Linked DNA regions of Neodiprion lecontei. The protein of the gene in region 3 interacts with the protein of the main gene of each other region in a biochemical or structural test. Links are inferred from orthologs where the notes say so. Each region holds a gene or a part of one and is shown on either strand. Other genes may lie near its edges.

Region 1 (4,564 bases), on a different chromosome or scaffold from region 3:
ATTATAGTAGGCATTTAATTATTGTATAAATTAAACTATGCTTAGCAAATATAGTTTATACACCATTTTTTTTTTTCGATTTTATCCTACTAATAATTTGGAAAATGATGACACGGTTTTGATCTCATCGTTAATAACAAATTTACTTTACTATTAGGCTAACTTCTAATTTTAGTTTACTTTTCATTGATGTTTGTCGATTGCGTTAGAAATTGCTCTATAGCAATGACATTCTTAGAAGTATAGATAAATACGTAATATTGGTATATTTTGTTTTCAGAGTAGAACAATCAATAATTAACAGGTTTTCGAACTGCACAATCAAGTGCGCGTTAAAAAATACTGCACGGAATTCATGAAGTTAACATTAAATTATCTCGATACTATGCTACATACTAAAAAAATGAAATGTTCATTAGATTTGGCAAGTAAACAAAAAGGTATACGTATAAGTAAAATGGAGAAAGGTTATAATTACCTACGAACATTAATATTTGCACGCTGCATCTATAGATTTGTTCGCTTGCTTCGGTCTCGGAAACCGGTTGAAGAAGGTTTATAAAACAAGTGACAGTTTATTTAAAACTTATCAACAAAATTATGGTTTGTATTACGAAATACGAATGAAAATTTTCTAATTCAAATTTAAATAAAGTTTTAACGCTTTCCGTTGTTATAGTTGAGAGTTCTTAATGGAGCTTTGAAGGTTGCAGCAGATTGTTGTTGAATCTGATAAGCCAGGGGGTGAATTTTAAATCCATATAACCTGAAATTTTGTAAAATAAAGTATTTAGAGTAATTCTCGAGTCCTGGTCTCGAGATAAGAATGTATATATCACATAATAGTATGCCTAAATAGAGCCAAATAAATAAATCACTATCTTGGTTTGGTTGACTGGTAGAAATCTTTTAGTTCTGCAGTTATGCAACTATTTCTAGTTCTCGTTGTGAGGGTTTTACCTGGGCACGAACTGGTTAGCAGCACGTTTAGGTCGATATTCGGGATGCACCATAAACAGCATGTGTGGGAATCCAGTTCCAAAATATGCACCGTCAGTATGATGATGTCGTGAACTTTTAGGAGTGTAGACGTCCATACATTTGGGACAGTAACTTTTGACCATTGCTTCGCCTGGTACATCGCTGAGTCCTAGTGGCAACATAGGCTGCGATTCGCAGTAAACACGTGGACAGTGGCCAAAGTCACCAGACTGATACTTTTCAATCATTTGTGCAATACCTCGGTTCGTTAAAATATAACGTGCGTGAATAAGACCATACAGCATTTCAGCAGCCTGTTCTATCAAATCCGATTGGTTCGGATTGTCATCCAGTTCATCATCTAAAATTAGGAAATTTTTCAAGTTTATATGTGCAGCTATGAGTCAAAAATGTACACATCTCAGTAATATTCTCCAATTTAAACACACCAGATTCAAAGATGCAAAAGAAGTTTCTTAAAAAATATCGACTCAACTATACCTATAATTCTACACTTTGACGATAGAGCTATCAGTACTTATGATTTTCAAGTTTTAAGATTTGAATTATTCTTAAGTGTTCTGATAGTGGTGTAGATCACAGAGAATATATAACAAGTACGACAGAGAGTTTAAAAACAAAAGACAATATGTACCAGGTTCGAGGTCAAGGATCATGTCCAATGCCTGACGATAGTGTGGAACCTGTTCATTGAGACCAGTTAGATTGAATTTATCTTGTATATAGTCTTCATCAACCTGCGTAGAAATTGTAAACATAATTTCGGTTAAAAATTGAGCTCCACACTTATAATAATGATAATCTCAGTTAAATTTTGAAACACTTGGTTTTACACTCGATTAGCATACGGATATATAGTAATATCAGCGGTAGTGCAAATTTGGAGGTCAACAATAGACGCCATAATATTTAAGGAATGATTCATAGAAAGTGATTTCACCAAATTTTTGACTGATAATCGGTAGTACCTATCATAACGATTGTATGAGAATGAGATTAGAAAAATTCTTACCTCACAAAAAAATTCATTTCCTCTGAGCCCGCAGAACCACGAGATCCATGATACCTCCTCGGAACTGCTCATTTTTCTATTAATTAGAGATATATTAGTGAAAAACTTTAACAAACCATAATCGCGTAGATTAGCCAACGGAATAACAAGACACTTCGTTCGGCACGCAAGATGCCCGACATTTTGCTCAACCGCTTCACCTACGTTTCCGTGGTCATTGCTGATCGGTCAAATGATTATTGAGTACGTTGTATAACTAAATATAAGGGAAAATCGCATGACTCTAGGAAAACTGGCCTAAGAGCCACGCGGTAAACCGAAAACCCAAAAATAAACAGCCCTTACGGCTTACCTTTTGGTGCCTTGATTAGCCACGCTTGCTCGCCCAGAGAGGGTAGGTGTCGCTGCTAGCGTCTGCTACCAGCTGTATGCGGAGAATTTATTGGGTGCACACTATTCTCAGAATCCTGATACCATGTTAACTTCAATTCAAGTCCATACTGATATTGATAATAAATACACCCGCTAGTTTCTCACACAACATACAATTCGATCCACTATTCACGAACTGTTCTCCACAATGAACATGAAATTATTTTGTTATCGGCGACACGGCAGGCGCAGGGCGTCGATATAACAGGCCTCTCGTTTATCTATAGTCAGTGCTGCGTCGAGTGATGATTGGAAACTACGCTCGCGGATAGTGCTGGAAACTATAGTCGATTTACAAAAACTATCGGATTCATTGTTCAACCCTGTATTATGATTGGTTGGCTCATCGTTGGACAATATGGCAGGAGTAGGGCAATAATCATGGCAATAATCTCTATTGTAATGTGATTATAATTGAGATCAGTGGAATGGGGGGATGGTACATATTGTTGAAATTCTGATGTCAGAGGACACAGAGGTGAGCGGACGAGCGAAATCCGTTGTGGCAACAGTCTCAGTTTGTCTATGACGTCATGGAATACAAACGATGTAGCCGAACAATATAACCTTTCGCTCTTTATTACTTGACGAAGTTAAAAGAATACACCGCAAATTTGTCATTCTTTCACTTGTAAGCAGCTGACACTGAGTTATCTTTTTCTATCTTTCAATTGTATTATCTACATTGGTTATAACTGCAACAGAAGCCAGTCATTCGTCAGTTGGCAAATTGAAAAAAATTGCATCGCGAGTCGTTACCGTCATTTATGCAAACAGATGGTCAGTATGCATTCTGCAGTACCGTCTGGTCTATTGATTTATCAACTTTCGGGAGTATGCCAATTTCAAACCATCGATAGTTAGACTATTATCATGATTTTAACTCGTATATTATTCAATATATTGTTTGGAATTGAATGTTTGCCCATGAAATCCACTAATGTCTTTGAAAACTAACTTTATTTACATTTTCAAACGTCCATGGATATAAAATAAAGCATTAACAATACGATGAACGATAGTGCGTCTTTAGAATGGACTTCATTGTTATCCAAAAAAAGGAAAAACATTTGTCACAATAAACAAGACATATCAATTTTGTCAATAACAGAATCGTATCAAACTGTCAATTTCTCGAGGATCAATTTTTTAAACTTGAGTTGATTCATTATTATTCAATGATATATATTTATGTACATATATATATACTCATATCTATTTTTTCAACGTTTAAAATACTCAATGTGAATCCATAGTAATATAGTGTGCTTACAAAATAGAAACTCGCGCGATTCAGATTTTTCTCAGAGTACAAGTTTTTTTTCATAAGCTATATCACAATTTCTTTTATTTTTTTTACATTCAGTAGTTATGTTTCAAGATTACAGCCATTCTGATTTCATCGATATTTGATCATGGTACCTGGTTATGTGTCGCGCGCAAAATTAATCCTTCAATTACGATTTATTATTTTGATCTGAAAATCGTTGAATTGGCTGGTTGGTAGATTCTACTGTTTTTCATGTTCGTCGCACACCTGATATGTTTGAGATCTTAATCCAAACAATTAAACGTCATTTATTTATGTATTTTTATTTTTCAAAAAAACTCGTATTATATTCCTTATTACGTTCGAAATTAAGCCCTCGAAGCCTTGATGAAAAATTTTATAGTGCGGAGTTCTTTTTCACAAACACTTGCCCCACGAATTTGATGAAAATTGTATCATATGAGTAATCCAAAGTACAGGTAGCTACACGAATGCCAAAACGAACGGTAGAAGAATCAACCGATTTGTTACATCTTTCACCATACCGCGATATATTCACAATTATCATTTAACCGCTGGAAATCACATATTCTCTTCGTTGTTAATATGAGAAAGAATTTTGTTCAACCTAATATCATTTCGATCAATTCTGATATCCAACGCTTATACTACCTCAGACCTTTACTCTTTGCCAAGTTTTCTAAAATTGGTAGCTTTCAGCTTATCCCACTGAGGAGTCAATGTATAGTCGTAAGTTGCCAGTACTGCAAGAGTCGTTCGCCTTTTGGTAAAGCCATAGATGTAGGTCGCTCAAAGGTCAGCATGATTTCTTTAACTTTACTCTTCAA
Region 2 (5,273 bases), on a different chromosome or scaffold from region 3:
AGTAAGATTTACCTTCCCCAATGGCAAACTTCAGATTTCTGAAAGTAATTCTCGTGTTTTTAGTACTGCAGAATGAAAAAATACATGTATAAGTAAATTTGAGAAGGGATTCTATTCTGGCCATGATCTTTCCTTGAATTATTTGAGCAGAATCGTTCTGCAAATCATTTTTTATAGTACTGAGCTACTTACCGAATACCAGCGACGGCCAGCTCAACGTAGTCGGAAATGACGCAGCTTTTGATGAGCGAAAGACGTTTTTCGAAATTTCCGAATTGGCAAAGAGTATCCAAGGATTTAATTTTCATCGTAACATCCAAGGATTTCGCAGCGGTGACAATTTGCTGTCGAATGTTCACAAATGACTGTCCAATATGTGGCAGGGATTCTAAGAGAACTTCGTGTAACTCTACATTTTTTACTTCTCTGTGCCTGCAGAGCTGATTTATATTCTCGAAAATTAAAGTTGGGTTTACATTGGATTTAGCACGCAGTTCGTTTATGAAAACTAGAGCTATGCTTTCAGACTCTTTTCCATAAAATGAAACATCAATATTGGCCTGCGCAATCTGGAAGTCTAGCCAGCTCGAACATTTCAGGATCTCTAAAGTGAAGTGGAATTCTTTACGTTGTAACTTATCAGCAAAAATCTTTCCCAAGATACTCCACGTCTCGCTAGTTAGTAATGAATTCTGTTTAAGCTTTGACATCGAACATTCAATGTCATTTAACACTAGGTGTTGCATTATCTCGAGAAAACCCTTTAAAAAACAAAAATAATATCAATTATTCAGTGTGCCTGTTTACGATGCCTTCTGCAATTTCGAGACATTAATAATAAGCGGTATTATTTAGAAAAAAAATGCTTACCGTCCAATTCTTAAGATAAATAGAACACCTGGTTATTTCGTCAGGAGTACATGAGGTTGGATTGTCCATTAAATAACGCGTGATTTTGGCGCACGCTGCATCTCTCAAGGGCTCAGAACTTACTGTAATTGAACGTTTAATTCATGACTGTTCTTCAGTTAGTATATTCGATCTTATTTAATTACAAATTGCTTTTAAACTTACCATCAAAATTATTGCAGATTGTCAAATCAATGACATCATAACAAAGGCTGGTAGCAGTTGGAGAAGTTCCCATCTCGCTGACAAAATTCGTCAAAATTTCCACCCATTCTGCATCCGTGCCTGCCGATAGTATACCAAGACTTTTCCAGCTAGGAACAAGCTTGACCATCTCTATAGTCCGAACTATGATTGCGTATTTTTCCTTAATGATGAAAAAAAGAAAAATATGATTGTAGAGGAAAATATGCTACGAATATGGACACGATATTGAAAAATCATTGTGTTTTTATCGACACCTTTGGCCCAATTAGCGATCTTTGCATCATCTGCGTCGCAATTTTTAGTGCAAGGAATTTTACATCTGGTGAAGAATCAACGATCATTTTGAGACACACATCCCATAACCTTGACTGGTTCCATTGTGTAACACCAATGTTTAAAATGATCTGCAAAGATCAAACGATGGTTAAAATGGGACCAGCAATGTGATTGAAAGTCAAAAAAATACATATCATAATTAAGATGCGACATGAAATTTTTTTTCTATATAGATATCGATGAATTAATTCTACTATTGTTTCAATTAGTTCATTGAACAACTCTTATGCACAGACTTGTTATTCGTTCTACTATTATGACTTGCTATGGTTGTCAAGTTGAACCATCAACCCCTTAACGTTACCTTTGATATAAAAATCTGTAGAGAATAAAGCCTTTTTTCAGGTACCCTGAGCGGCAAGGAAACGAGATCTAAGTAACCTATAACACCAGACTCAGCCTGGAATCTGGCTATTTCCATCTGATCTCCAGGCTTACAGTTTGCTTCAAATTTTACAATATCTGTAAACGTAAGGACCTGAGGTTATTATATCACATAGTTCATTTCTTCCTTGCTATTCAAACCATGCTATTAGCCAACGGTTAAAAAACAGATTCAAAACTCTTTTAGACACACCTTCCAAAACATCCAGCAGCTCTGAAGATATTCGATTAAAATTCGGTGGGTAATGTGTAGCCAATATGCGCAGCATACAAGCTTGTACTTCCAAACTGCTAGAGTGTACTTCTGTACCAAACGGTGCACCCGATATGTAGAACATCGTTCCAAAAAGCCAAATTGTAAATTCTGTAATAAAATAGGAGAAATGATTCTTCGCATCACACCAACACTTTTATCAATTTTTATTTGTTGGCGTCGATAAGCTCCTATATTTACCTGTATACTGTCTCTCGAGATTTTTGTAATTCTCTCCTACCGCCTGCGGGGGAACCAAAACATTTGTCAGGTTGGCAGACCCCTTAAGAATGGAACCCAAAATGACACGAATTGTTCGTTCCGCCGTGTCGTTTTGTAGGTCCGACAATATAGCGACCAAAGGGTTGTTTATCACTCTCCATACTGTTTCTGCAGTCGCTACGCTACTGTTGATAGATGAACCATAATAACAAATATATTGTTTCGATGATAAGAGTACAAGAGGATGAATTTACATCTGCTCATGTTCGAATTTACCAGTGTTCAAATAATGTTATATATAAGAATTGAAGGGGTTAGAATAATAAAATTAAAAAATACACAATTACAAACAAAATCACGTCTGTGATGTACGAATTTGCCGGTGTCCAAATAATTCAATACAAGTATTGGGTTAATTAATAAGAGGTTAGAACATCAAGACTTACCTGTTACTCGAATTTGATAATTCGGTAGTAGAATCGCTGCTCATGATTTTTATTTAGGTTTGTTTTCCTTGCGAACTACGAAAGACTTCGTATTGACGATACGAGATAGGAGGTTGGAATATTGTTTGGACTCGCATCAACGAAGAATTTGCTTGACACATGCGGTATTTTATTCAACTGAAAAGAGCACATATTGCCGCCTTCATAACTAAAGCCAAAAATTGCTAAAATTCTTGCTATCACAGAATTTACACCCCTATTCATCAAACTCCACAAGCGGTTGCAGAGCGAATTCGCGACTGACAGGCCATGCTGTACAATTCAAACTGGCTGAGTCGCGAGGGCGTCGGACCGCATGGGAAACACGGCGGTAATACTGGTCGGTAATGCAGATTCACCGCGGACGGTAAGTGTACCGACTGTTGGTAAGACTACGTAGAATCAGTCAGCTCTGGTAGGGTCCCTAAAATTTGTATACCTAGGTAAGTGTTTGCTTATGGCATCACGTATTTAGACCGGTGAAATATAATAATAATACTAATTCAGTGATTTTAGACCACACGATTTAGAATTTTAGCACCATTTTATTCACATAATAATAATTATTATACAAACAACTCCGAAATGAAAATAGTAACATACATCATCACACTCGCGTACTATATAACTATACACATATAATAGAAATGATAATACATTTACACGGAGAATAATTGTAACAATATGATAGTCACGTACGCACAAAAAACAATTAATCATCGTTCTCGTTCCGTTAACTCTGCAGTAATAATTTTGCTAGTCAAATTTTGTGAAACAGAAATTGGTATATTCGTGAGTTTAAGTATTTTTTATAGCTATCATGACTCCCAAAATCGAAATCGATAATCCACGGGCACATAGTTCAATCCGAAAAAGAGACAAACAGCACCGATCAGTGTAACCACGGTCTTTCAGAAGGACATTCGTCCTCATTTAGTAAATCATTTTGTAACGTCAGAACCCGCCCCTGTATGTTTTCGCCTCGTAGCAGGTAACTGTAGGGTGATAGCAGGCTGCGAAACCTCGCAAGGTTGCACAAGAGTCCGCTTGCTCTCGTGGCTGGTGATGTTACGGAAGTTGACCTTGAGGCTGGGCACGTGGTGCTCGGCTGACCAGTCAAAATTGAAAATCGGCGTCCCGGACCTGAGGTCCGAGTCAGCAGAGACGTCGGTGCAAGGTGTGGTAGGCGTTGTGACGCAGGGACTGAGCTCCTGGAGCTGGACGATATCAGGAACCTTTTGGAGAGTGTCGACCCAAGCGTTGCCAACGGAAGTACAAGCCGAGCCCCAAGGCTCGGTACAGACCTCGGCCGGCTCGACGATCGTCGCAGTTTTAATCACCAGCCGCCTCTGCGAGTTATAGCTGCAGCTGTCTATCGCTGTTGCTGTGCAGCAAGCCGAAGCTACGATTGAAGTCACTTCGGTACTATCACCGTAACTCTTGTCCAGGTCCGTTAGACTCACGTACTTCGGAGAACATCTCGGGGATGAACACTCTCGCAAAATCGTTGAACTAACCCCGGGAACAGAGTTGCCGTGATGCATCTGCTGCTGGAGCAGGGTGCTGCTCCCTTTCCGCTGCTTGTTATTACGGATGTTGAATGTCAGGGCTTGGGAAAGTATGTGGAGGGTTCGCTGCTCGATGTCCCCTGTGTGGTGTGAGATCACGGCTCCGTTTATCGACATGTCCACCGGTTCCGAAGTCTCCCGACTAATGTGCGTTGAAGAATGCTGCAACGTTCAAGAATACGTGGCATGTTCGAAAGATAACGGGAATTTTGTAATATTGAGTGTGTATTAGTCCGATTCGCGTGTTTTTTTCGTTGTGTGTTGATAAACTTGACTGAAAAGTTGCTGCACAGTATTAGCCGAATTGGATATATATTTATATAGTCTATTGTCAGTCGTCAAAAGCGTTACACGTGCTTAGTTAGGATCGGGTATTTTGAAAATGAATCAGAGAATTTGTATTAAATTTTGCTGTAAGAATGGAATAAAGTGCAGCAAATTGATCGAAATGTTAAACATTACTGTTGCTGAGTTTGCTATGAGTAAAACAAGGGTTCCCAAGATAGCAATGAAAACGTTGAAGATGACGATCGCCCTGGACGCCCCAGCATCACAATCACCAAAAGCAATATGTAACAATTCTAAAATTAGGCTGCACTTTATTCCAATCTTATAGGAAAATTTAATAAAAATTCTCTGATCCATTTTCAAAATTACCGATCATAACGACACACGTTTAACCTTTTTGACAGCTGATAATAAACTAAATATCCAATGTGGCTAACACAGTACAGCAACTTTTCAGACAAACTTACCAACAGAGCAACGAAAAAATCACGCGAATCGGACTAATACAACACGCAAAATTACAAAATTCCAGTTATTTTTTTAACACACTTATCTCGACGTATCAACAACAGTTTCTCGTGAGGGGTGGCAAAACTGAACAAATAAAAATCAAAGTACGGC
Region 3 (4,967 bases):
CTTTTCTTGTTGGAAAATGTTCAGAGGTATCCCGTGAATATGAATTCAAGTTCGAATGACTGGGGAGAGCTTCCTTCCAGGATGGCGCAAAGTATCTCGACCATGTACTTTTTGGTCCTTGAAATGCGGGAAATGTGGAAATAATAATGCATGTCAAAAAAATACGTTTTTCGACGATTTTCATGATATAAGTAAGTTTCCTGAATTCCACTACGAAAGAGTTTTGCATCGGCGAAATTCGAACCCTTTCCGTTCATTTGTTTACTTGATATAGGAAAAAAAGGTGTGCTACATAACCTTCAAAATTCAGTGTTGCGTAGTGGGTAGTATCAATCTATGGTGGTATTCTTGTTAGATTCTACGGTCATGGGTTATGTTATGTTAATTGAGATTGAGTTTGTATCGCGCTTGGCCGACTATGATGCTGTAGGTTTCTGTGTTGCCAACATAATTGTCTAGTGTAAAAAATTAGCCGTCTCAGGTGCATTGTCCTCAAGTGTACTCTGGGCACATTTTTGTAACCAGCACTCTGCGGGTAAGTGAGCCTGGGGCCATGATAAGCCATGTTGGCGATTCGGTAGCGTCTTTATCGATAGAAGTAGTTTATTTATAGTAATACCCAGGTAGCATTCTGTTGCAAGTTCGTGATTTGACCGTCACATGTGCGCATGCATGACCCTGCCGGCAGGCAACTATCTGTCTGTTTCCGCATTGTAAAAAGACCACGTATGCTTCCTTCTGGTAGGTGCCTGCCGCAGAAAATGCATGATTCATACATGCTTCGCCAGGATCGGCTTTGTGGAAGGTATGAAATAATATGTGGAAAAAATATCCAAATTACACAGATGATATGAAGGAATTCGACAATATAAGACTATGGATAGTACGGTAAAAAATTTCCGTAAATCACAAATCGAAATAAATACACATGTTCTTATAAAGTGCGTGGAAAGAATAATACAGTCAGAAAAATATAACCTGAAGCTTTACCAATGGAAAAATAAGGATATAAGTACCTAGATGGATATAAAAAAGTAGTCGGATCTCTATAAGAAACGCATCTGATTTCATAAAATATAACTACAAAACTGTACTTACCGTATCAAATAATATGAAGTGATGTATATAATAATTGGTTTATATGCCTCAGTAAGTAAAAACACGCATCAGTCGCGTGTTTCCCGCTGTTTGCTGCTAAATTTGTTACACAAGTATAATTCAATCGGAAACCGGGGTTTTGCGTATTTATTCGCATAAAACATTAACGACACTAGCACGTGCAAGTTTCGGTTCGCGCTGCAGCTCGACATCGTGCGTAGAATTACAGTAATCGTGTCGTCAATATATTGTAGCGAGTGACATTCGACTGACCCGCATGGTTTATTTGTAAGATCACCTGTTCTGCAGAAACATGCATCAACCTTGCACAATTCTGCCGCAAAGTGCTGCCGAACACGGTCTTGCATGATCGGATGCTGCATGAAATGCTACCTGGGTATAGAGTGCGTTCCGAAACTAGCCGGCTGCGTTAAGAAATCCCTAGGACAGAGTCAGAGCTACTCACGAACTCGGCAGCGCAAAAGAGATAAAAGGTGCGTAACAGCACTGGGAGCTAATTTCGGAAGTCTTCGATCAGTAACCGATCTTTCCTACACTGAGGTTCCTAGTTATTAGAGTAACTAGAGCAACTACCAGCCATCTTGGTCACTATATTTTTCGCACCAACAAGAAATATTTCTTGAAGTTGACACTCTATAATAGGACGTAGCTTAATGGCTTCGATATTCGCAAGTTCGCTTAGCTGCCGATCGCGGCTCTGTTTTAAATCGATTGACAGAAGCAGGGAGACATCGGTCCAGCAGCCATATTAAACTTTCTACGATCAGTTTCTGTTCTATGCTTCCCTTCCTCGTAAAAGGAGCAATGGATTCGCCGTTTTGCAATCGATTTCCTTGCTATTGGTGTTAAAATATGATACGTTCACAAACTCATAGCGCTGTTTAACTGCCGCTAACACCATAATCACCTGTAACAACGGGAATGTAAAATTCGGCTCGAAGATCGACTCACTAACGGTTTACCCTGTTTATTTTATCACCCTTACCACGTGTTTCCCTAGTTTCTGTCACAATTTAGAAGCTTGAAGTGAACTTTTCGTAATAGTTGGTCCCTTTTTATCGGCATCAGCGGCACCTCTTAGCGATTATTATCCATCAAAGAGTGCCCTCGTCGTTCGTTCGACAACAGCGATCACAAAGAAATTTCATTCGGCAGGATCGGAAATGAGAACGATATTGATTCTTTGTCTGTAACGAAGAAAGAGGAATGCGAGAAACACGATGTCGGACTTCGTGGAAGGTTGGACTTTAGGGCACACTCTGGGGGAGGGGGCCTACGGCGAGTGAGTATTCATAATTATTTTTCCTCGTTAATCACTGCTTACGCTTTTATTTTCACTCTCTGTTACATCCCGCCTCTTTCATCTGTTAGAAATCATATTGAGTTTAGCGTTTGAAACAGATCTCACATATTTAAAGGATGAATCGGGCATCATTGTAATTAAAACCGAGACGGGAGACAAAACCATTCTAAACATCTCCAGTATTATTTGGCCCATGATGATAAACACGGATAAAACATCATCCTTACAACCTGATAGAAATGATTTGAGTACATTCAAGTAGCACAAGCCAAGATATACCAACGATTCGAGGAAAAGTTTTATAATTATCACATTTGAAGTGATCAATCTCTGATATTTTTCTGAAACTTAGATCAATTGAACTCGAACGAAATCGATTGAAGTCATCTGAAATTGACTTAAATGATTGAATTTGATAAGAAAATCTCTTAAAAATTACCATGAAACCACTTTAAAATTTGCTAAAATCATATGAAATCATATAAAAAAAAATGACTTCGATATTGCATCAAGATCCTTCAAAACTATATGAATATTTCTTAAAATTGCTTTCAAATGATTCGATTCACACCCAGATCTTCGTCATCACAATACGCACGAGGCCTGCACTCGCAATAATGACTTACTGGAATGTATGGAATCTTTTTAAGAGTTTTATACAGTGTGGTGTTTTAATCATTCCATGTGAATATCTGAGAAATGCAAACAGATGTTTTATTTAAAAGTTTGAGTGCTACAAGAGGGAAAAATGATGTTGATATGAATCGAGTTTTGGATTGTGTTTTTTTGTTGAGATTTTGTAAGTAACATCTAATTTTAAATAGAGAGTTTGTATTTTGGATATGAGCAACTAATATCGAGATCAAAGACAAGTTTAAGGTCACAGATGTTTTTTCTCTCTTTCTTTACTTCAGCCTCACATATTCATTGTCTCCCACCATTGCTGATAAGTTTCTTTACGGACACAAAATTGGTATGTTCGTAACGATGCAACTCATAATTCTTTATAATTATGAAATGGATCGTAAATTATGATTGCAAACTTTTTAAGGTAAGCAATAATTAAAATAGAATACATTGGAAAAGAAATTTCCATGAAAAAAAAATCATATTTTTTTGAATAAAGTATTTTTTTCGTATCTCTATTTGTATCGTAGCTACGATACTAAAGAGTAAAATTATTTTCATAACTTACAAATATTTGAATATACGTATGTTTCCAATATCTGAACAAACAATTTGGGTAGCAACTTTGTTTTGAATCAAAATTAAAATACCAGTTGATATACAAAAATCACCAATTCTTGGAGAAACCATTGAATCTCGATTTTGAGTACGAATAGAAAATTTAATTACCAGTGTTTGAAATTAATCCTCGAATTAATCCGTCTGTGGAAATTCATTTTATTTACATGTAACACCTACGTTAACCTAAATCTAAAAGCATTAGATATGAAAATAACGAATGAAAAATTGTATTTTTGCAAATGCAGGGTGGAGGGAAAATGTAAAAAGATTAGAGAAAAGAGGGTCACAATATTAAATATTCATAAAACCAAAAGTCCATTTTATAGAAATTTAAAATTTAGAATATCAAAGTATAGAAAAGTCAAAATGTAGACAGGTAATGTACATAAAAAACCAAAATATGGAATCGTTAGAATTCTGATACATTCATTCCCAGCCGTCATAAAATTGATTCAAAATGAAATATAATGGACATGTAAAAAAGTTATTTAAAAAATCGATGATGTGAAATTGTACGAAATCTCATCAAATCCCGTATTCACAACGAAATTATTTTGAAATCAACATGGAACCCCGTAAATTATGAAGTTGAAGTTCGTAAATTTATTGTAACGATGCGTGTTTATGAAAAATCGTTACTTGACACCTTCAGGATTGCCTGAAATTTAGTAAAGCACAATAAACAAAATGCATTAATATTTTAAAAAACCAGCACATTGAAAGTCATTCTAAAATTGAACAACAATGAAATCTTCTGATGTTTCGTTACAGTAACATTACAAACTTCAGCTTCTTTATGAATTCATCTGAAATCAATTCAAAATGGAAGATTTCTGAATTGTTTTTTACACAATTCGCGGAAATCGTGTTTGCAAGCAAAATAAGCACAAAACATTAGAATTGAATGAAAAAACACGGGAGTTTACTCATTTGAACATTCCAATTATAAGAATCCTTTTTCATATTGTTGATATCTTGACTTGTGTAAATCAAAATCCATTAGATTCATTTTTATTACATAGTACAGAGTTTGTTTAATTCGTATGTACCATAATTTGGTAAATTGCAATGCTGGAAATATTTTTAAATGGGTCGTCCTCTCTTAACTTTTGATTTGTAATCTACATCAGTTATTTGCGCCGCCAGAATCGATTTATAAGGTATTATAGTCATCATTCACACTTTCCACATATTCTCAATTTTCTGTTACACGTCATGTGACCATTATAAATTTTTCGGTGAATCGTATCTCTCACCAGTTTCCTCTGAGTCGTTGGGAATTCCAGAGTGCAGAGTT

What was found.
Region 1: of the proteins of serine/threonine-protein kinase grp (region 3) and casein kinase II subunit beta, one has a biochemical effect on the other in vitro, tested with the Homo sapiens proteins (2 studies listed by BioGRID, with this or other methods). The link is inferred for Neodiprion lecontei from reciprocal best matches to the Homo sapiens genes CHEK1 and CSNK2B.
Region 2: of the proteins of serine/threonine-protein kinase grp (region 3) and serine/threonine-protein kinase ATR-like, one has a biochemical effect on the other in vitro, tested with the Homo sapiens proteins (7 studies listed by BioGRID, with this or other methods). The link is inferred for Neodiprion lecontei from reciprocal best matches to the Homo sapiens genes CHEK1 and ATR.

What each region holds. Positions count from the first base shown.
Region 1 is NC_060262.1:34,621,090-34,625,653, forward strand, and holds casein kinase II subunit beta, read right to left. Parts: upstream 2,361-4,564; 5' UTR 2,233-2,360; coding exon 2,219-2,232; intron 2,091-2,218; coding exon 2,015-2,090; intron 1,740-2,014; coding exon 1,637-1,739; intron 1,343-1,636; coding exon 961-1,342; intron 767-960; coding exon 658-766; 3' UTR 556-657; downstream 1-555. Other genes in the region: nucleolar complex protein 4 homolog B, read right to left, coding at 4,454-4,564. UniProt on the Homo sapiens protein: Regulatory subunit of casein kinase II/CK2.
Region 2 is NC_060264.1:32,007,713-32,012,985, reverse strand, and holds the start of serine/threonine-protein kinase ATR-like, read right to left. Parts: upstream 3,056-5,273; 5' UTR 2,802-3,055; coding exon 2,758-2,801; intron 2,497-2,757; coding exon 2,291-2,496; intron 2,201-2,290; coding exon 2,030-2,200; intron 1,915-2,029; coding exon 1,757-1,914; intron 1,521-1,756; coding exon 1,371-1,520; intron 1,277-1,370; coding exon 1,075-1,276; intron 993-1,074; coding exon 871-992; intron 762-870; coding exon 193-761; intron 39-192; coding exon 1-38. Other genes in the region: neuronal PAS domain-containing protein 4A, read right to left, coding at 3,738-4,526. UniProt on the Homo sapiens protein: Serine/threonine protein kinase which activates checkpoint signaling upon genotoxic stresses such as ionizing radiation (IR), ultraviolet light (UV), or DNA replication stalling, thereby acting as a DNA damage sensor.
Region 3 is NC_060261.1:17,307,160-17,312,126, reverse strand, and holds the start of serine/threonine-protein kinase grp, read left to right. Parts: upstream 1-1,849; 5' UTR 1,850-2,075; intron 2,076-2,274; 5' UTR 2,275-2,339; coding exon 2,340-2,401; intron 2,402-4,967. UniProt on the Homo sapiens protein: Serine/threonine-protein kinase which is required for checkpoint-mediated cell cycle arrest and activation of DNA repair in response to the presence of DNA damage or unreplicated DNA.